Astyanax mexicanus: one gene and its partner. The protein of the gene in region 1 purifies or fractionates together with the protein of each later gene. This does not show direct contact. Links are inferred from orthologs where the notes say so. Each region holds a gene or a part of one and is shown on either strand. Other genes may lie near its edges.

Evidence for each region. The genes of interacting proteins can lie anywhere in the genome.
Region 2: the proteins of ubiquinol-cytochrome-c reductase complex assembly factor 1 (region 1) and ubiquinol-cytochrome-c reductase complex assembly factor 2 purify together in Homo sapiens (co-immunoprecipitation; 3 studies listed by BioGRID and IntAct, counting the BioPlex papers as one, with this or other methods). This does not show direct contact. The link is inferred for Astyanax mexicanus from reciprocal best matches to the Homo sapiens genes UQCC1 and UQCC2.

Annotation. Positions count from the first base shown.
Region 1 is NC_064412.1:43,866,553-43,877,255, forward strand, and holds the start of ubiquinol-cytochrome-c reductase complex assembly factor 1, read left to right. Parts: upstream 1-6,145; 5' UTR 6,146-6,324; coding exon 6,325-6,390; intron 6,391-7,396; coding exon 7,397-7,498; intron 7,499-10,703. UniProt on the Homo sapiens protein: Required for the assembly of the ubiquinol-cytochrome c reductase complex (mitochondrial respiratory chain complex III or cytochrome b-c1 complex). Involved in cytochrome b translation and/or stability.
Region 2 is NC_064412.1:16,507,491-16,518,286, reverse strand, and holds ubiquinol-cytochrome-c reductase complex assembly factor 2, read left to right. Parts: upstream 1-5,315; 5' UTR 5,316-5,364; coding exon 5,365-5,502; intron 5,503-6,638; coding exon 6,639-6,713; intron 6,714-6,852; coding exon 6,853-6,922; intron 6,923-7,911; coding exon 7,912-8,021; 3' UTR 8,022-8,456; downstream 8,457-10,796. Other genes in the region: si:ch73-15b2.5 (rho guanine nucleotide exchange factor 19), read left to right, coding at 243-295, 379-386; tomm6 (mitochondrial import receptor subunit TOM6 homolog), read right to left, coding at 3,133-3,229, 4,998-5,098; tspo (translocator protein), read right to left, coding at 8,503-8,676, 8,845-8,983, 9,162-9,334.

The DNA.
Region 1 (10,703 bases):
GCTTCCATTAGTTGTGCTGCTTTACTCCTGAATATATAAGACCTATGTGGATGTATAAAGACTTTTTAAAAATAATTTAAAAGCCGTTTGAACAGTGGTAGGATGGTCCCTCCTCTTATATGTAAGTCTTGGTCCTCCCAAGGTTTCTTCCTCCTCCTGCAGCTCTGAGGGAGTTCCCCTCTCACTCTTCTTTCCCTTCTCACTCTTCTTTCCCCTCTCACTCTTCTTTCCCCTCTCACTCTTCTTCCTCTCTCACTCTTCTTTCCCCTCTCACTCGTCTTCCCCTCTCACTCTTCTTTCCCTCTCACTCTTCTTCCCCCTCTCACTCTTCTTCTCCCTCTCACTTTTCTTACCTATCTCACTCTTCTTTCCCTATCACTCTTCTTCCCCCTCTCACTCTTCTTCTCCCTCTCACTTTTCTTACCTATCTCACTCTTCTTTCCCTATCACTCTTCTTCCCCCTCTCACTCTTCACTCCTCTCACTCTTCTTCCCCCTCTTACTCTTCTTCCCCCTCTCACTCTTCTTCCCCTCTCACTCTTCCTCCCCCTCTCACTCTTCTTCCCCATCTCACTCTTCCTTCCCCTCTCACTCTTCCTCTCCCTTCTCCCCTATTGCTCTACTCCTACCTCTCACTCTTCCTCTTCTCACTGTTCCTCTGCCTCACAATCTACCTCTACCTCTCACTCTTTCTCCTCTTACACTCTTTCTTCTTCCTCTCACTCTACCTTTCACTCTTCCTCCTTACTTACTCTTCCCACCCCTTTGACTCTACCCCTACCGCTAACTCTTCCACCTTTCACACTCTTCCTTCCCCTCTCACTCTACGCCTACCTCTCACACTCTTCCTCTTTTCTTACTCTTCTTTCCCCTCTCACTCTACCCCTACCCCATCTCTTCCTCCTCTCACACTCTTCCTACCCTTCTCATGCCACCGCTACCTCTAACTCTTCTTCCTCTCCCCCTCTTCCTCCCCCTCTCACTCTTACTTCTCTCACACTCTTCCTTTCTATCCCACTCTACCCCTACCGCTAATTCTTTCTCCTCTCACACTCTTCCTTCCTCTCTCACTCTACCCCTACCTTTCACTCTTCCTCCTTTCTCACTCTTTTCACTTTTACTTTTCCATTTTACTCCACTTTTCCTTCTCTCTCATGCTTCTTCCCTCTCAGTCTTCCTCCCCCTCTTACTCTTACTCCCCCTCTTACTCTTCCTTCCCTCTCACTTTTCCTTTTCTCTCACTCTACCCCTACATCTCACTCTTCCTCCCACTCTCACTCTACCCCTACCTCTCACTCTTCCTCCCACTCTCACTCTAGCCCTACCTCTCACTTTTCCTCACCTCTCACTCTTCTTTCCCCTCTCACTCTTTCTCCCCCTCTCACTGTTCCTTCCACCTTTCACTCTTCTTCCCCCTCTCACTCTTCCTCCCCTCTCACTCTACCCCTACCTCTCACTCTTCCTCCCCCTCTCACTTTATCCCTACCTCTCACTTTATGCCTACCTCTCACTCTTCCTCCCCCTCTCACTTTACCCCTACCTCACACGTTTCCTCCTCTCTCACTCTTCTTTCCCTTCTAACTCTTCCTTCCCCTCTCACTCTTTTTTCCCCTCTCAATCTTTTCCCCCGTTTTACTCTTTCTTCACCTTTCCCTTCTCAATCTTCCTCCCGCTCTCACTCTCCCTCCCCTCTCACTCTTCTTTCCCCTCTCACTCTTCCTCCCCTCTCACTCTTTCTTCCCTCTTACTCTTCCTTCCCCTCTCACTCTACTCTTAACTCTCACTCTTCCTCCCCCTCTCACGCTATCACTATCTCTTCCTCCCCCTCTCACTCTACCCCTATCTTTCACTTTTCCTCACCTCTCACTCTTCCTTCCCCTCTCACTCTTTCTTCCCTCTTACTCTTCCTTCCCCTCTTACTCTACTCCTACCTCTCACTCTTCCTCCCCCTCTCACTCTATCCCTATCTTTCACTTTTCCTCCCCTCTCACTCTTCCTCCCCTCTCACTCTACCCCTATCTCTCACTTTTCTTCCCCTCTTACTCTTCTTTCCCCTCGCACCCTTCTTCCGCCTCTCACTCTTCATTCCCCCCTCACTCTTCCTCCCCTCTCACTCTTCCTACCCTCTTACTCTTCCTCCCCCTCTCACTCTACCCCGATCTCTCACTTTTCCTCCCCTCTCTTTCTTCTTTCCCCCTCACTCTTCCTCCCCTTCTCACTCTTCCTCCCTGCTCTCACTCTACCCCTAGCTCTCACTTTTCCTCCCCTCTCACTCTTCTTTCCCCTCTCACTCTACCCCTACCTATCACTCTTCCTCCTCCTCTTACTTTACCCCTACCTCTCACTTTTCCTCCTCTTTCACTCTTCTTTCCCCACTCACTCTTCCTCCCCTCTCACCCTTCTTCCCCCTCTCCCTCTTCCTTCCTCCTCTCACTCTACCCCTACCTCTCACTTTTCCTTCCCTCTCACTCTTCTTTCCCCCTCACTTTTCCTCCCCCTCTCACTCTTCCTTCCCCCTCACACTCTTCCTCCCTGCTCTCACTCTACCCCTACCTCTCACTTGTCCTCCCCTCTCACTGATCTTTCCCCTCTCACTCTTCTTTCCCCCTCACTCTTCCTCCCCCTCTTCCTTCCCCCTCTCACTCTTCCTTCCTCCTCTCACTCTACCCCTACCTCTCACTTTTCCTTCCCTCTCACTCTTCTTTCATCCTCACTCTTCTTCCCCCTCTCACTCTTCCTTCCCCCTCACACTCTTCCTCCCTGCTCTCACTCTACCCCTACCTCTCACTTGTCCTCCCCTCTCACTGATCTTTCCCCTCTCACTCTTCTTTCCCCCTCACACTTCATCCTCCTCTTACTCTTCCTTCCCCTCTCAGTCTTCTTTCCCCTCTCACTCTTCTTTTCCCTCTCACTCTTCTTCCCCCTTTCACTCTTCTTTCCCCTCTCACTCTTCTTCCTCCTTTTACTCTTCCTTCCCCTCTTACTCTTCTTCCCCCTCTCACTCTTCCTCCCCTCTCACTCTTCCTTCCCCTGTCAATCTTCCTCCCCTCTTACTCTTCTTCCTCCCTCTCACTCTTCTTTCCCCTCTCTCTTCTTCCCCCTCTCACTCTACCCCTATCTCTCACTTTTCCTCTCCTCTCACTCTTCTTTCCCCTCTGACTCTACCCCTACCTAATACTCTTCCTCCCCCTCTTACTTTACCCCTACCTCTCACTTCTCATCCCCTCTCACTCTTCTTTCCCCTCTCACACTACCCCTACCTATCACTCTTCACCCCCCCTCGTACTTTACCGCTACCTCTCACTTTTCCTCCCCTCTCACTGATCTTTGCCCTCTCAATCTTCTTTCCCCCTCACTCTTCCTCCCTGCTCTCACTTTACCCCTACCTCTCACTTTTCCACCCATCTCACTCTTCTTTCCCCTCTCACACTACCCCTACCTATCACTCTTCACCTGCCCCCTCTTACTTTACCCCTAGCTCTCACTTGTCCTCCCCTCTCACTGATCTTTGCCCTCTCAATCTTCTTTCCCCCTCACACTTCCTCCCTGCTCTCACTTTACCCCTACCTCTCATTTTTCCTCCCCTCTCACTGATCTTTCCCCTCTCACTCTTCTTTCCCCCTCACACTTCATCCTCCTCTTACTCTTCCTTCCCCTCTCAGTCTTCTTTCCCCTCTCACTCTTCTTTTCCATCTCAATCTTCTTCCCCCCTTTCACTCTTCTTTCCCCTCTCACTCTTCTTCCTCCTTTTACTCTTCCTTCCCCTCTTACTCTTCTTCCCCCTCTCACTCTTCCTCCCCTCTCACTCTTCCTTCCCCTGTCAATCTTCCTCCCCTCTCACTCTTCCTTCCCCTCTCACTCTTCCTTCCCCTGTCACTCTTCCTCCCCTGTCACTCTTCCTTCCCCTCTCACTCTTCCTCCCCTCTCACTCTTCCTTCCCCTCTCACTCTTCCTTCCCCTCTCACTCTTCTTCCCCCTCTCACTCTTCCTTCCCCTGTCACTCTTCCTCCCCTCTCACTCTTCCTTCCCCTCTCACTCTACCCCATCTTTCACTTTTCCTCCCCTCTCACTCTTCCTCCCCTCTCACTTTACCCCTACCTCGCACTTTTCCTCCACTCTTCTTCCTCCTTTTACTCTTCCTTCCCCTCTTACTCTTCTTCCCCCTCTCACTCTTCCTCCCCTCTCACTCTTCCTTCCCCTGTCAATCTTCCTCCCCTCTCACTCTTCCTTTCCCTCTCACTCTTCCTTCCCCTGTCACTCTTCCTCCCCTCTCACTCTTCCTTCCCCTCTCACTCTTCTTTCCCCTCTCACTCTTCCTTCCCCTCTCACTCTACCCCTATCTTTCACTTTTCCTCTCCTCTCACTCTTCCTTCCCCTCTCACTCTTCTTCCCCCTCTCACTCTTCCTTCCCCTCTCACTCTTCTTTCCCCTCTCACTCTTCTTCCCCTCTTACTCTTCCTTCCCCTCTCACTCTTCTTCCCCCTCTCACTCTTCCCCTCATTCTACCCCTGCCTCTTACTCTTCTTTCCCCTGTCACTCTTCCTCCTCCTCTCACTAGGGTTACCAACCGTCCCTTAAAATCCGTAATCGCCCCATATTTGGGCAGTAAAATACGCGTTCCGTTTTGAATTGATCCGGGACGCGATTTGTCCCGTATTTTTAAGGTGAGTTATTAAGGCGGGTGATTTGTTTCAGAAACACCGCTGCGGCGCTGCCCCCCTCCGCTGGAGAACAGCCACCCCTTCTAAACAGAGTCTGCGACTCTCATTGGTCAAGACACGGAGACTCACAACCAATCAGCCTCTGTTCAGGAGTGGCTGTTCTCTGAGCGTAGGAGGGGCAGCGCGGTGGCGCGTTCTAAATCACTCCCTCCCTATCACAGAACTAGTGCACTATTTACCTCCGGTTAACCCACAATATAGTGCACTATTCCTGTGATTTAGAACGCAGAGACCAGTGCTCACGTACAGCGTTTAACAGCACGCAGAAGGAGAGAGACCAGAGGCTGAGGAGAATACAGGGAGAGGAGAATACAGGGAGAGGGAGCAGTGTCAAGGTTCCCTGTGCGATATGCGTCTCCAGAAGCTGATATGGTATAAAAAAAAAAGCTCATTTGAAAGCAAAAATTGCACAATTTAATTTATTACATTAAAAATATTTATGTTATGAACAACATATTTCTGAACGAAACATACAGTACTGTGCAAAAGTTTTAGGCACCTGTGGGAATTTCAGTAAAGAAAAAGCTTCTTATCTGTGCAGTAAGTGTTTATTAGCTCAGTAAAACACTAAAAATACAATAAATACAAACAGCACTTTTACAAATAGCAGAGCTTTTACAGCCCTGTTCTCCTTAATAAAACATCTCCTAATCTCTCCTCCTCATCTAAGTTTTATAGAGTTATTCCTCATCATATCTACACCTGGTTTGGTAAATTGGTAAAGCAGGTGAGCTGCTGACGGAACTGAACATATACACATGCTGGCTGAGTAGCATCCAGGAGAAAATATAATCTCTACACTTTACTCTTTAGCTCGGATCACAAGATACAACATACGTAGTTAAATATGAGAATTCCTTGTTATGTTTTACTGTATTTATGTTTATTTTTTATTTTTTTTTATTTATTTGCATCTGTTCAAATCATATGTGGTGCTTTTCCGGTAAAAAACACTCATATTACTTTGGTCCCTAAAACGTTAGTACTGTATTTTATACATGTGGTTTGAATTAATCTAATACTAAAAGTGTCTGCCGAAACATATTTTTTTCAACAAACTTAGCATACTGTTTCATGGTTTTATGAAGTTATGTTATAAAATGTATAGACTAATATATATATATATATATATATATATATATATCCCCGTCCCCCGTCCCTTATTTCATTTTCGAAAAGTTGGCAAACCTAGGTGTTTGATCCGGTGGCTTATAATGGCCAGTTAGCTCATGTTGTGTGATTTTAAATAATAGTGTTTTGCTATGGAAACTTAAATGTATGTCAGATTGTTGTGTTTTATGCAGAGAACCGAGTTCAGTGCCGTTTTGAATTGTGAAATATGTATAAAGCAGAAAATGTGTTTAGTCTCGCGACAGGACTACTCTGTACACACGAGCGGAACTAAGCATGCGGGCTCCTGGTTTGTAGTCGGACTCGTTAGTCAGTGGAGCAGATTCTTTGACATTGCAGGAGAGGAGGGGAACCGCTTATAAAAGCTGTAACACGCGCAGCGGAGGGAGCTGCTGATTACCACCATCACCACCGCGCCGCCGCCGCCGCTGAAAGAGTGCAGTTAATATTACATTCTGACTTCTGGCGGAATTATGTACCGACGCCCTTTACAGTCCGCCCTGCGCAGCGCGTTCAGCAGCCGGACCGCTCTGGGGCAGGTAAACACACTGCAGCGGATACACCACCCCACCAGCTCATCCACCAACCTTACAACTCCCCTACTAACCCTTATAACTCCCTCTCTAACCCTTACAACTCCCCAACTAACCCTTACAACTCCGGTTTAACTAACCCTACATACTAGCCCTTACAACTCCCCAACTAACCCTTACAACTCCCGTTAAACTAACCCTTATAACTCCCCTACTAACCCTTACAACTCCCAATTAACTAACCCTTACAACTCCGCCTCTAACCCTTACAACTCCGCCTCTAACCCTTACAAATCCCCTACTAACCCTTACAACTCCCCTACTAACCCTTACAACTCCCCTACTAACCCTTACAACTCCCCCTCTAACCTTTACAACTCCCCCTCTAACCTTTACAACTCCCCTACTAACCTTTACAACTCCCCTACTAACCCTTACAACTCCCCCTCTAACCCTTACAGCTCCCCTACTAACCCTTACAACTCCCCCTCTAACCCTTACAGCTCCCCTACTAACCCTTACAACTCCCCCTCTAACCCTTACAGCTCCCCTACTAACCCTTACAACTCCCCCTCTAACCCTTACAGCTCCCCTACTAACCCTTACAACTCCCCCTCTAACCTTTACAACTCCCCCTCTAACCTTTACAACTCCCCTACTAACCTTTACAACTCCCCTACTAACCCTTACAACTCCCCCTCTAACCCTTACAGCTCCCCTACTAACCCTTACAACTCCCCCTCTAACCCTTACAGCTCCCCTACTAACCCTTACAACTCCCCCTCTAACCCTTACAACTCCCCCTCTAACCCTTACAACTCCCCTACTAACCCTTACAACTCCCCTACTAACCCTTACAACTCCCCCACTAACCCTTACAACTCCCTCTCTAACCTTTACAACCCCCCTCTAACCATTAACTAACTCTACATACTAACCCTTAGTTTCAAGTTTTATCTTATTCTCAGTAATTAATAAATTTCTGTTTTAAATTGTGTATCGGTGTTTTTAGGTCCCAGAGCAAGGTCCTTGCTTAAGTAAGGCATCTTGTCGTGTACTGGGAGCAAAAGCTCCTTCTCAGGCACAAAATCGAGCTCTTCATGGCACAAGAGAGGTGAGTTTCATCACTTTAATATTAACACCAGACTATCCCTTCAGATTCCATTAAATTACTAACCTGCTGATTTGTTTGCTGAGTTTCAATATTTCCCAAGCAAATTTGAAATCCTTAAATCTATGGGAGAAATGCATATTTAGTTTACATACATTATATATAATAAATATTTGCTCCTGTTTTACTCGTTTTACTATGTTAACATCTTATATAACTCATTGTCATTGGCTCTTAAATACGTTTAAAGTTGTATACTGGACAATTTTATATTAATAGCTGAAATTATCTGTAAAAATAAACATACTAGCTTAAAGGTGTTTACTGCTTAAAATGATATACAAACATTAACATTAACGACTTTAGATGTTTTGATCAAAACTTTACTTAGCGAAGTCCAAATGAAACAAAATAGTATGGAAAACGAAACATCTTTTAAAATAAGCTGGTCTGGGGACTTTTATATGCTGGTTAGATTAGTAGGTTCTGGGGTTTAATAACAGATGGATGGAGCTGTGCTGGTTAGATTAGTAGGTTCTGGGGTTTAATAACAGATGGACGGTGCTGTGCTGGTTAGATTAGTAGGTTCTGGTGTTTAATAACAGAAGGAATGGAGCTGTGCTGGTTAGATTACTAGGTTCTGGGGTTTGATAACAGATGGATGGTGCTGTGCTGGTTAGATTAGTAGGTTCTGGTGTTTAATAACAGATGGATGGTGCTCTGCTGGTTAGATTAGTAGGTTCTGGGGTTTGATAACCGATGGATGGTGCTGTGCTGGTTAGATTAGTAGATTCTGGGGTTTAATAACAGATGGACGGTGCTGTGCTGGTTAGATTAGTAGATTCTGGGGTTTAATAACAGAAGGAATGGAGCTGTGCTGGTTAGATTACTAGGTTCTGGGGTTTGATAACAGATGGATGGTGCTGTGCTGGTTAGATTAGTAGGTTCTGAGGTTTAATAACAGATGGATGGTGCTGTGCTGGTTAGATTAGTAGGTTCTGGGGTTTAATAACAGATGGGTGGAGCTGTGCTGGTTAGATTAGTAGGTTCTGGGGTTTAATAACAGATGGATGGTGCTGTGCTGGTTAGATTAGTAGGTTCTGGTGTTTAATAACAGATGGATGGAGCTGTCCTGGTTAGATTAGTAGGTTCTGGTGTTTAATAACAGATGGACGGTGCTGTGCTGGTTAGATTAGTAGGTTCTGGTGTTTAATAACAGATGGATGGAGGTGTGTTGGTTAGATTAGTAGATTCTGGGGTTTAATAACAGATGGGTGGAGCTGTTCTGGTAAGATTAGTAGGTTCTGGGGTTTAATAACAGATGGACGGTGCTGTGCTGGTTAGATTAGTAGATTCTGGGGTTTAATAACAGATGGATGGAGCTGTGCTGGTTAGATTAGTAGATTCTGGGGTTTAATAACAGATGGACAGTGCTGTGCTGGTTAGATTAATAGATTCTGGGGTTTAATAACAGATGGATGGAGCTGTGGTGGTTAGATTAGTAGGTTCTGGTGTTTAATAACAGATGGACGGTGCTGTGCTGGTTAGATTATTAGGTTCTGGTGTTTAATAACAGATGGACGGTGCTGTGCTGGTTAGATTAGTAGGTTCTAGTGTTTAATAACAGATGGATGGAGGTGTGCTGGTTAGATTAGTAGATTCTGGGGTTTAATAACAGATGGATGGTGTTGTGCTGGTTAGATTAGTAGGTTCTGGGGTTTAATAACAGATGGATGGAGCTGTGCTGGTTAGATTAGTAGGTTCTGGTGTTTAATAACAGATGGATGGTGCTGTGCTGGTTAGATTAGTAGGTTCTGGGGTTTAATAACAGATGGGTGGAGCTGTGCTGGTAAGATTAGTAGGTTATGGGGTTTAATAACAGATGGACGGTGCTGTGCTGGTTAGATTAGTAGATTCTGCGGCTTAATAACAGATGGATGGAGCTGTGCTGGTTAGATTAGTAGGTTCTGGGGTTTAATAACAGATGGATTGAGCTGTGCTGGTTATATTAGTAGGTGCTGGGGTTTAATAACAGATGAATGGAGCTGTGCTGGTTAGATTAGTAGGTTCTGGGGTTTGATAACAGATGGACGGTGCTGTGCTGGTTAGATTAGTAGGTTCTGGTGTTTAATAACAGATGGATGGTGCTGTGCTGGTTAGATTAGTAGGTTCTGGGGTTTGATAACCGATAGATGGTGCTGTGCTGGTTAGATTAGTAGATTCTGGGGTTTAATAACAGATGGACGGTGCTGTGCTGGTTAGATTAGTAGATTCTGGGGTTTAATAACAGATGGATGGAGCTGTGCTGGTTAGATTAGTAGGTTCTGGTGTTTAATAACAGAAGGAATGGAGCTGTGCTGGTTAGATTACTAGGTTCTGGGGTTTAATAACAGATGGATGGTGCTGTGCTGGTTAGATTAGTAGGTTCTGAGGTTTAATAACAGATGGATGGTGCTGTGCTGGTTAGATTAGTAGGTTCTGGTGTTTAATAACAGATGGGTGGAGCTGTGCTGGTTAGATTAGTAGGTTCTGGGGTTTAATAACAGATGGATGGTGCTGTGCTGGTTAGATTAGTAGGTTCTGGTGTTTAATAACAGATGGATGGAGCTGTCCTGGTTAGATTAGTAGGTTCTGGTGTTTAATAACAGATGGACGGTGCTGTGCTGGTTAGATTAGTAGGTTCTGGTGTTTAATAACAGATGGATGGAGGTGTGTTGGTTAGATTAGTAGATTCTGGGGTTTAATAACAGATGGATGGAGCTGTGCTGGTAAGATTAGTAGGTTCTGGGGTTTAATAACAGATGGACGGTGCTGTGCTGGTTAGATTAGTAGATTCTGGGGTTTAATAACAGATGGATGGAGCTGTGCTGGTTAGATTAGTAGATTCTGGGGCTTAATAACAGATGGATGGTGCTGTGCTGGTTAGATTAGTAGGTTCTGAGGTTTAATAACAGATGGATGGTGCTGTGCTGGTTAGATTAGTAGGTTCTGGGGTTTAATAACAGATGGGTGGAGCTGTGCTGGTTAGATTAGTAGGTTCTGGGGTTTAATAACAGATGGATGGTGCTGTGCTGGTTAGATTAGTAGGTTCTGGTGTTTAATAACAGATGGATGGAGCTGTCCTGGTTAGATTAGTAGGTTCTGGTGTTTAATAACAGATGGACGGTGCTGTGCTGGTTAGATTAGTAGGTTCTGAGGTTTAATAACA
Region 2 (10,796 bases), about 27 Mb from region 1:
TTTGCAAAAATCAAATTTCACATGCTTCTTGCTGTCTGAACCCAATATAGATATGCCACAAATTAGATTTCCGTCCCATTTACAGAGGTAGGTCTGGCCTTGTATTTGTCCAGGGTGCCAGCAGACCAGATAGCTACTAAACTGTGAGAATACATTGTGTGAATAAAACAGAGTTTTAAATCAAGGCCTCCCTGTTGAATTGGATGTGAAAGTTTGATTCTTTTTAAACCCACTGTTTGCAGGTTGGAAAGAGAAACCTGGATCCAGCTTTTATCTTCACAGAAGAGCACATCAGGTAATTCAATCACAGATTTCATGATGGTAGTACACATTTTATTGGGTTTTGCATACATCATTTTTGTACATCCGTTCTTTCAGGTGTATGACCAAGCCTGCTTGAATGATGGCCTTATCCCACATTGTGAAAAACAGCATGTTCATAAACAATTGTTTTAATATAAACCTGTACTGTTATTTATATTCTAAATAAAGTTTGACATTTCTAATAATCAGTTGTTTCACTGTGCAATAATACAGTCCTCTGGTTATGCAATCCTCATTCAGTGTGATTTATTATCAGTCCTGTTTGTTACGAAGATTCATTCTTGAATAGAAGAAATGTCAATCACCTCCTAGAAACAAAAAAATGAGGTTAATTTATAGCATGTAAGTATAAGAAATTAACATGAACTGTTAAATGTAATGATAAACACTGCTATCACTCATGGAACAGGATATAGCAGCAGCTCATCTGTAATTATAACAATTTAATCAGGTGACTGGCCTTGAGGCTGATTGAAATGCGTGTCTCTACTGATGCTCCCACTCTATACCTACTATCAGCAATATTAAGCTCTACCTCAGTAACTGTTGAGTTCATGTATGTATTAAGCTATCACTGCGTATACCCATGTTGTAGCATATTGCATATCCCCCAAAACACGCATTCAGGTTGTACTGTGTAGGTACTAAGGCTGTAACTAATTATTGTTTTGGTAGTCCAATAATCTGTTTTATTTTTTTAGATTAGTCAGCAATTTATTTCTGCTATACTATCCTGGCTCCTTCTTTATTCATCACTTTAAAAAAATACAAATGTGTCTGTTTTCTTTAATGCCCTTTAACTGACTTGGGGACTTAATTGGGCACTAAAATTCGGAATTGATACATTTTTATAATTATGTTGACTACTTTTTACAGCCCTGGTTGGTACTGAACTGTCCTGTCTGTTAAAATGTCTAATGTCGGTTGTATGTATTGTAGTTCTAGTTCTGTTTGCACAATTTGTTGTAGGTTTGCTCTTCATGTTGTCTACAGGTGCTGGTCAACGAATTAGAATAATTTGAAATAGTGCAATCATGAAATTCTTTGAATGCATTTTTTGTGCAGAAAGCAAATCAGGTGTTCACCGCACCTGTCCTACTCGTTAGACTAATCACAGAACTCGTTACCTGGAAAAAAATTGGCTCAGCTGAGCTTTCCAAAAGGCCCATTTAGGCCATTTAACTGTGACACTGTTGTTTTATTGAATTAGAATAATGGAGAAACCGTTTCATTGAATTAGAATAATTTTTATTATAATTACAATCATCACTTTCTCAGTATTTTGTGGCTGCCCCCTTGGCTTGTATGACTGCCTGAAGTCTCCTCGGCATCGATTTGACCAGCTTGTCGCAAATTTCCGCACTCACAGCTTCCCAGGCAGTGGCGATGTTCTGCTTCAGTTGGTCCAGCGTAGTAGGCTTTCTGTCACGAATTTTCCGCTTGACGATGGCCCAAAGGTTTTCAATGACATTGAGGTAAGGCGAGTTGGCCGGCCATGCCAAAACTTCAAGCTGTTTTTTAGTGAACCAATCTTTGGTCGACTTTGCCGCATGAGCCGGTGCAAGATCCTGTTGAAATATGAAGTCTTCTTCGCCGAACTGTTCCTCAACAGTCGGAATCAGGAACGTTTCCAGAACATCTTGATATACGGCAGCATTGACAGTCTTCTTGAGGAAGCAGAGTTTCCCTACACCTCGAGCGGACATGCATCCCCAGACCATAACGCTCTGGGGAAACTTGACGGATCTTTTCACGCACTTGTGGTTGTAGGTTTCGCCACCACGACGCCAGACACGAGGACCTTGGTCACCGAAGGAGATGCAGAAGCGTGATTAGTCACTGAAGACCACTTTCTGCCAGGCTTCAGCAGTCCACTCGCCGTGTTCTTTGGCCCACTTCAGCCGTTTCTCCATTTGTTTCTTGTTCAGCATCGGTTTTACTGCTGGAACGCGAGATTTGAAGCAGAGTTCGCGCAGACGACGGTAAGTGGTTGATCTGGAGACGTCAGCGCCGGTCTGCTTGTTCCACAAGTCGGTGAGCTCGGAAGTGGACTTGAACCGGTTGCTGACTGCGATCTTTCTCAGCTGCTTGTTGTCGCGAGCAGAAGTTTTTCGGACGCCGGAACAGTTGGTGCGCTTGCTGCAGTTTTTCTTGAGAGCTTTGCAGACGGAAGACTGGCTGATGCCGAGCTGCTCAGCAATTTTAGTTTGGGTCAAGCCTTGTTGGCAAAGGGCTTGAATTTGAGCCACTATTCCGGTTGAGAGGTCGCGCTGCTTACCCATGATTGATTTTACAACTTAGAAATTCTACTCAACCCTGACTTTATACTGCACAGTGAACACTCTTCACAGAAAACAAAAATTCGAGCATTTATTCTAATTCAATGAAACGGTTTCTCCATTATTCTAATTCAATAAAACAACAGTGTCACAGTTAAATGGCCTAAATGGGCCTTTTGGAAAGCTCAGCTGAGCAAATTTTTTTCCAGGTAACGAGTTCTGTGATTAGTCTAACGAGTAGGACAGGTGCGGTGAACACCTGATTTGCTTTCTGCACAAAAAATGCATTCAAAGAATTTCATGATTGCACTATTTCAAATTATTCTAATTCGTTGACCAGCACCTGTATATCATACTGTTTGTACCATGATGCACCACAGTCCTGGAGGAATGTGTTTTCACTTCACTGTGTACTTGTACTCAGATGGAATGACAAAAGCCACTTGACTTGTATTGTTTTTTATCGTAAATAAACACATGCAATGTTACCTGTAAACCTGATGGCCTCCTGGTGTTCATTAGGTTAGAATTATGTGCCTGGTTGAGGAGACATCAGGTCAAAGTCTGACAGGTTCCTTGCTACCCAAACTCCAGCTGCAAACAAGCCTAGATTAACTAGGAGATTCCTATAGAAAAAAGAGAAAGGTAAGATAAATACTGTCAAAGGTTATTAGAGGTTATATTAGAGCCTTAACTATGCGCAGGACTGGACACTGGTGATTAAGCTATTGAGTTATTTTTAGGTGATGATTAAAACCCGATTAAAAAACACTGGTCACCAACTCTTCTTGTGGAATCTAACATTTTTTGATTAACCTTTTGTTAATCAAACTTTCTGCAAGTAAAAACTAAATGCACTGAGGAGTGAAAATGCTGGAAGGTAGAACTATTTTAGGGGTACCAAAACATACATAAAAATATTTGATGACACATGATAGACTCCACATTTAAATAGAGGTCGTGACCTAGGGATGCCACAACAGTTTGCCATTGAATAGATTAGCAATATGTTTGTGTTCAAGTATACATTAGTTAGACAGCTTAGCTAGGTTACAGATAATTTTATTATCATTAGCGGTTATCAGATTTTTTTTTATACTTAAAGCTAGTTTAGATAACATACAATGGTTACTTTAACTAAAACTAATGGTAATTCCTTACAGCAGTTATCGGTACCGTTATCTACCCAGCTAGCAAAAGGACGTTGAATCAACATTTATTTTTCCATCCCTATTGAATTAAAACTTTGATCTCCGTCAGCATTGATTTGTTTGTGTACACAGTTTACACTTATTTTACATTGTTTTATATGTATTGTTTTTGTATTGTGTTAAACATTAGTTAAATATGAATATCTTGTATTATTTTTATATATATTGTAAGAATTGACAAGTAATAATTACTAATATTATTAATAGTATTATTTGTGGGGAGCACCTTTCACATAAAAGCATTAATGTGTGTATATTCAGAGCCCCTACTAGAAGTGTGCCATATCGTACTGTAGGCAATAATATCAACAGTTTGGATTTTTTTTTTTCATATTATACCCTAAAATATCATGCCATATCCCCCACCCCTGATTATCACACCAAGGTACTACTTTGTTTGCAGTTTTCAGTGAAATAAAAAAAAATGTGTATATATGTATATATCTGCTAGAGACAGATTTTATCTGTCCAGAATCATTCATTTTACTTTAATCCTGGATATGTGGAGATATTTGGAATGCATTATTACTATTATGACATTCTGGATCATTGACTTATGTTACAAATCTGATAAAATTCTTGATTTTTATTATAAGTCAGTTAGAGGTGTGCCACATCATATCACATGCAAGAATAAAGTGTAATTTTCAATTCAGCCAAGAGTATACCATAAATACTATATTGCCCACCATCCTCTAAAATTCTAAACCTTTAGTTAAGTAAATGTTTGCAACACTAACCCATGCCTATCAGGCAATGCTAAATAAAGGTTGTTTTATGGTTGTTGTTTTTTTCATCATTAACCTTGAAAGATGTGGGTTAATGCAACCAAAAATATCAACACTAATGATGCGTATTAGTCAATGTTAAATAAAGGTTGTTTATGGTTGTTCTTCCATCATCAACCTTAAAGAGAACACAATGCAACCAAAAAAATGAACGTTTATTCAACGTTCTTTACCATTACGATTATCATTTAGTTGTAGCTACTCTTCTAATCATGAAAAGCAATTAGCTTTTCTAAATGCTTAATCTAACATATAGTTAAATAAATAAAATAAGCAAAGACCTAGATCTTCAGTATCTATTTAGCTAACGTTAGCTAATCCATTAGCTAGCAAACCTGACCTGGCTATCCTTAGCTATGGGTTTCTAACAGCTATATTAGCTTAGCTTAGCTTACCGTCTGAAATCGTTTCTGTCTGTCGCGAACCGACAAGCGGAGCTAAACCAGCCACCGATTCCTGGAGATGCCGCTTCAGGCTTCTTTCCTGCCCCACTCATTTTCTATTACTACTGATAAATATATTGAATAGAAAATAAGATAAGGTTATCTTAAGGTGGACGCTAGCTGCTGCTGCACTGCTAGACCTTGTGTAATGGGAAGAAACACGTGAGATTATCGTTTCGCGTTCCCGCTACGGAAAGCCGGATTGCTCAATGTGAGATTTAGATGCAGCATTTAAACCAACGCTACGCACGCCGCTCTGTTTGTCCCTGAGCGCGACCCTGACTTCACAAGCGTCTCTGTACCTTCCTCCCAGTCAAATATGGCAGCCACCAGGTACCGTCGATTCCTGAAGTTATGTGAAGAATGGCCAAGAGACGAAACAAAAAAAGGCCGGGATCTGGGGACTTTCTTACGGCAGAGAGTGGCCAGCGCGTTCAGGGAGGGCGAAAACACGCAGGTAACGATTATATACAGCTATATAACGATTAGGGGGACACACACAAATCAGTGTTGCAGACACGGTCACCTCTGGAGGAATCTGGATAAACACCGAACACAGCTGTGTCTTCCTGTACTAACACTGTCCCCTCGCTTACTGACTACACATGCAGTGTGTATTACTCACATGTGTGATGGATTCTCTTTAACTAGCGTTAGATAGTGATGCCACTGCTGTTTTTTTTTTTATTGATTTCCAAAAACATCATAATACAAACTAAGGCTGCAACGATTAGTCGATATAATCGACAACTAGTACAATGACAATTGTCAACTAATTGTTAATCGTTAACTTTATATTACATACTTTAATATTTTAATATACTGAACTGCTAAGGATTGTTTATAGGGCCACTGTAATTAGATGTGCATTTTTCTCAGCGCAAAGTTTCACTTGTTACGCACATTATATAATATACAATATTTTTTTGTGTATTTGTTTTTATTTTATTGCCCTTAACACACAGTGACGGGCAATCAACATTATGTAACTAAATCAGACTTTACTTACCTACACTTACACTTCACTTACCTACATCAGAATTGATACATTTTTGCATGTTTATTTTATGTTGATTAAACGTTATGCGTATATATGTATTGTTTGTACATTTAATAAATTTAGTGTTTGTGTTCTGATCTTATAGCCTGTACTGTGATCTTGCAGTGCAGAAATCCTGCAGAAATATCCTGAGTGTAGAAGAGGCCCAACCATTCAAAACCTTTAAATGATTACATGACAGAATCCCAACACTAACTGATGCCAACCTAATAACGGTTGTATTAAAGTTGTTTTTCCATCATTAACATTAAAAGATTTAATGCAACCAAAAATTAATGCTTATTTAATATTCACTGCTAATTAGGACTCATTCTTTCCATTTATACCTACCAAATTTACTCTGCAGTGAAAATAAAGGAATTTTTCTGAGCACTCTACAGCATGATAACATCATTGGCACTTTAGGGTTGAGAACTACTGATGAAGATGGTATTTTTGAGAATTGTACAGTAATTTAAAGGAAAATTACACTGAAATGGATTACAATAATTTAAAATTCATTTATTTTATTTACTTATCTTTTTCCTAAATAGATCTCTGACCCAGAAAAATGTGATCAGATGTATGAAAGTTTGGCTCGCATCAACAGCAATGTTTACAAAGAGAAGGTAGGTCTAAACCCAGAGAGTTTACTCAATATATATGCTTGTCATGATAGTATTATTTTCAGAGAGCTTGTAATATAATGCATTTGTGTGTCACATTTTATTATGTTTATTGAAAGAAGCTTCTTTAATACTTTTCCAGTTTCCTCGAGCAAAAGACACAAGTTTTACTGGTGTGACAGTAGAGGAGTGCCGGATGTTATTATCATCAGGTAAGATTTTTCTTTTTTGGTAAATGTTATCCTTTTTTTCCCATCATCATCATTTTATTCTGAAAGAGCTTACCTTTTACAGTTAAATATGTATAAGTGAAAAACATACCTGTAAGGTCAGTCATTTATAAGGAACAGGAATAAAGAAAGTCCATTTTATTGTACTGGGTTGCCAGAGTTAATCAGCATTTCTTCGTATGTTATGATTATTGTTTAAGGACCATCAGCAGATATGTTTTTGTTTTTTTTTATTTGGATTTGTCTACAGGTTGACATTTTGACCTTATAATAAACAGTGTATTTTTTTACCAAAATCTGAATAGAAGTTGGGGAGTGCTTTCTGACAGAACTTGTAATGGCAGTGTTATTCAGGTCATGGAATCACATTGCTCACTATTTACCTGTATGCTATGTTCTATAATCATAGTAGGATTTTTAAGTATGATTTGCATCAACCGTACAGACCATACTAGAACCCAAGTGTATTACTGTTTTGGATTTTAAAGTGTCCAAAAAGTTAATAGGAAGCACATTTAAGATTTATGTAAAAGTAAGTCATACACAACCTCTGCGTATTAAAATGCACAATTTTTGTTTTTGTTTTGTTTAACAGATCTGGACAGGTTGTATTGTCTAGAAATGTGCTGGAACATATAACAAACTTTTTATGATAAATTTTATTTATGAAGATAAATAGAAAGTGTGCTCTAAAATATGCAGTTTGTTTTTTCTTGAGAATTTAACTTTTTACAGAAAATTAACATGTCATTTTAATAGAGGTGCACACACTTTTGCATACAACTCTGCATTTATCTAAAATACATTTCATGTATAAACCTGTACATGCTCATGTAGTATTACCATTTGACCACAAGATGTCCTTCATGTTAAGTACTTATGTATTTGTTGTAATGATTAAGGCTGTTTGTTTTTGCAATGAGACTGCAACCGGACATCCTTTGGTCCCATTATTTTGTTGTATGATGCAGGAAGTATGCAACAGACGGATGAAGAAAAGAAGGGATTGTGGAAGACTCTGATGAACCGATTTTCCTCTAAGCCAGAAGACGCTTCTCCTGAGAAACCTGAAAAGCAGTAATTTACATTGTAAACTCAATCCTGTCACATTTACTATTATAAATGGTTATTTTTGCTTATTGTTACTGTCAGTCTCTGCATGTTTCTTATGCAATGTAGTTGTATAAAAACTGTATTTAATGTGTACATGGCTTGTAAACATTAAAGCCAAATTGTATTAAAATATGCTGAATGTTTTACAGAAACCACACTAAATTATTTCCACAGTCAACATGTCACATGTATTTTTTTATTATTTTATTTTGGAAGAATTACATAGTGCAATTTAAACAACAATATAAAATTAGCATGGAAGCAGGCAAAATGTTAGTATAAAACATCTAATCTAATTTTCACACTTTTTCAATATTGGTTGCCAAGTGTATAATAAGATATCACTTGAATATGCACTTAATGTGATTAAAGGCAGATTCTTGTTATTGACTGTTGAAAATTATATCTTGCTGTTTGTGTGCATTAATTTTGTTTCCTTTTTGTCCACTCTAGTCCTTTTTAGTTTCTGGGTTGTCCCTCCAGATACAGTAGTTAAGGGATGTGGCCAAGCAGAGCCAGGCCATATATGGGACCATCAGGAGTGTAGCAGTACGGTTCACTGGGTACCAAGACACCATGGTAGCTGCCACTGTACCCGAGAGCATCACAAGCTCAATAAGTGCCTGCAGGGAGAAGAGTACGGAAATGTGAGGCACAATAACAGGGCATATTTTTCACTCAACAGTTAGGTAAATACAAACTTAGTACAGTAGAAGTGCAGTAAATATTGAAGAACCACTTTATTGGAACTGTAATAAAGAAAACTGAACTGAATAGGCTTCTACTCTCACCAGTTTTATTTTGTGTGCTCCAAAAAAGATTGGGGTCCAAGCCCAGTTCAGTGCCAGCTGCAGGCCATAAAGCCCTAGTGGAACCAGTGAATTCTCATTGAAGCCTCCCAGCTCTTTCCACACCAGGTATGAACCATACCTAAAACAGAAAAAAATTAAGACAAGACATTCATAATTAGGTTTTGACAAAAGGCTGATAGTAAATAAAGTTGTCTACACATCATTGGTTACTATGCTGTAAAACGTGGATATGAGCATGTGTCCTAATTTTAATTAATCCTTAAACTAATAATACAGGGTCACCATCACATACTAACCCCATGCCAGTGTAGAGCGTGGTCCACACCACTGGAAAAGCAGCATTGGGTGGCCTCCATGATGGCTTGTTAAGTGTAGTGTACCAGGTCTTCACCTCTTTTCTTGTGATGAACCCTCCATAGAGCCCACCAACATGTGGTAAAGCAGTCAGACCCAACAATGGAATCCACATATCTATAATACAGAAGAGAAATCATCAAAAGTCTGTTTATTGGTGGAGTTAATTATTCACAGATCAGGATTTCTTAGTAAGCTGGATCCTTTAAGCCCAACATGTGGACAGCCCATTAGGAATGCTCATTAACTCTATTTCTACTAAACGGTACTGGCAAATTCTTTTTTGAGAACCCATGAACAGAACATTCACTGTCTGCTTGAATCAGGTTTGTGATAACAGGAAAACAGGGAATGCAGTGCATTGTTTTCAGCTCTGTAAAATCCCTATGGCATGAGGCTGCTTTACCACAAGGGAATGCTGTTGAACATGGTTGTAAATACAGTTTGGTCCAGTTGGGGGTGTGCATGTCAAATAAACTCACACAGTTATTTTGTTTGCAAATCTAAGCAAAAAAGAAAAAAGTGACATTTCCTTAAAGGTAGTTTATATGAATATGTGCATAAACCATTTAAGCATTTACAGCACCAGTTTGGACACAGCCCTTTTTATTTCATGTTTTTTTTCTTTATATCTAATTTTTTCATAATTTTATATGTTGTAGATCAATATTAAATCATCAAAACTATGAAGTAATGCATATGCAATTATGAAGTAAACAAAAAGTGTTAAACAAGGAAAAATATGTTTTGTACTTTAGATTCTTCAAAGTAGCAGCTTTTGTTATGTTGCCAACTTTGCCCACTCTTGGCATTGTTCTCTCAGTTGGCCTAATGAGGCTGAACCTGGAAAGGTTCTCCAAATCCTTTTCCTTCACTCTGTGCTCTGACTCATCCCAAACAACCAGGGTTGGATTTTATGTCAGGTGTTTGTGAAGGCCAAACACTTTTACTATTTAATTGCATATGTATTCATTAATAGATTTTTTTTTGTTATTTCATGTTTTCTTCGTTAAAAAGTAATTGCAATTTACAGGTAAATAGCACATTAATCAATCTCATCAAACAAACAAAAACATTTGTTGGTAGCACACCAAGTTATAAGTCATTGTTACTAATCTACAATGTAGTATGTAATACAAATAAAGAACAAATATTAATTAATGAGCGTGTTTAAACTTTTATCATGGCCTGTCATGGTTCTATAGAAACTTCAAAAAACTTCTCTTGAAGAACCAGCTTTTTCTGTGTCTCAGTGAGAGTAAGGTCGATTAACAGGTTTACATTTGGCTGTGCATACCAGCAGCCTTCTGCCAAAACTCTGGTCCAGCCCAAGTGCTTATCTTTATCAGTAGGAGAGAAAAACAGCCAACGGTTAGTGATCTGCCACAAGTCAACAAAGCACTCTGGACAGTAAAACTGTATTAAACTGTTTAATGGAAAATGGCGAAGTCACATAAAAATGCTAAACAGACACACTGAATCACTAAGGTACTTAGATAAATAGTAAAGTCAGTGACCTTTTGGCAAGGACAGGTTGTATAAGGTTGGGCTTTTCTGTGGGTTACTGCATTAGTCTT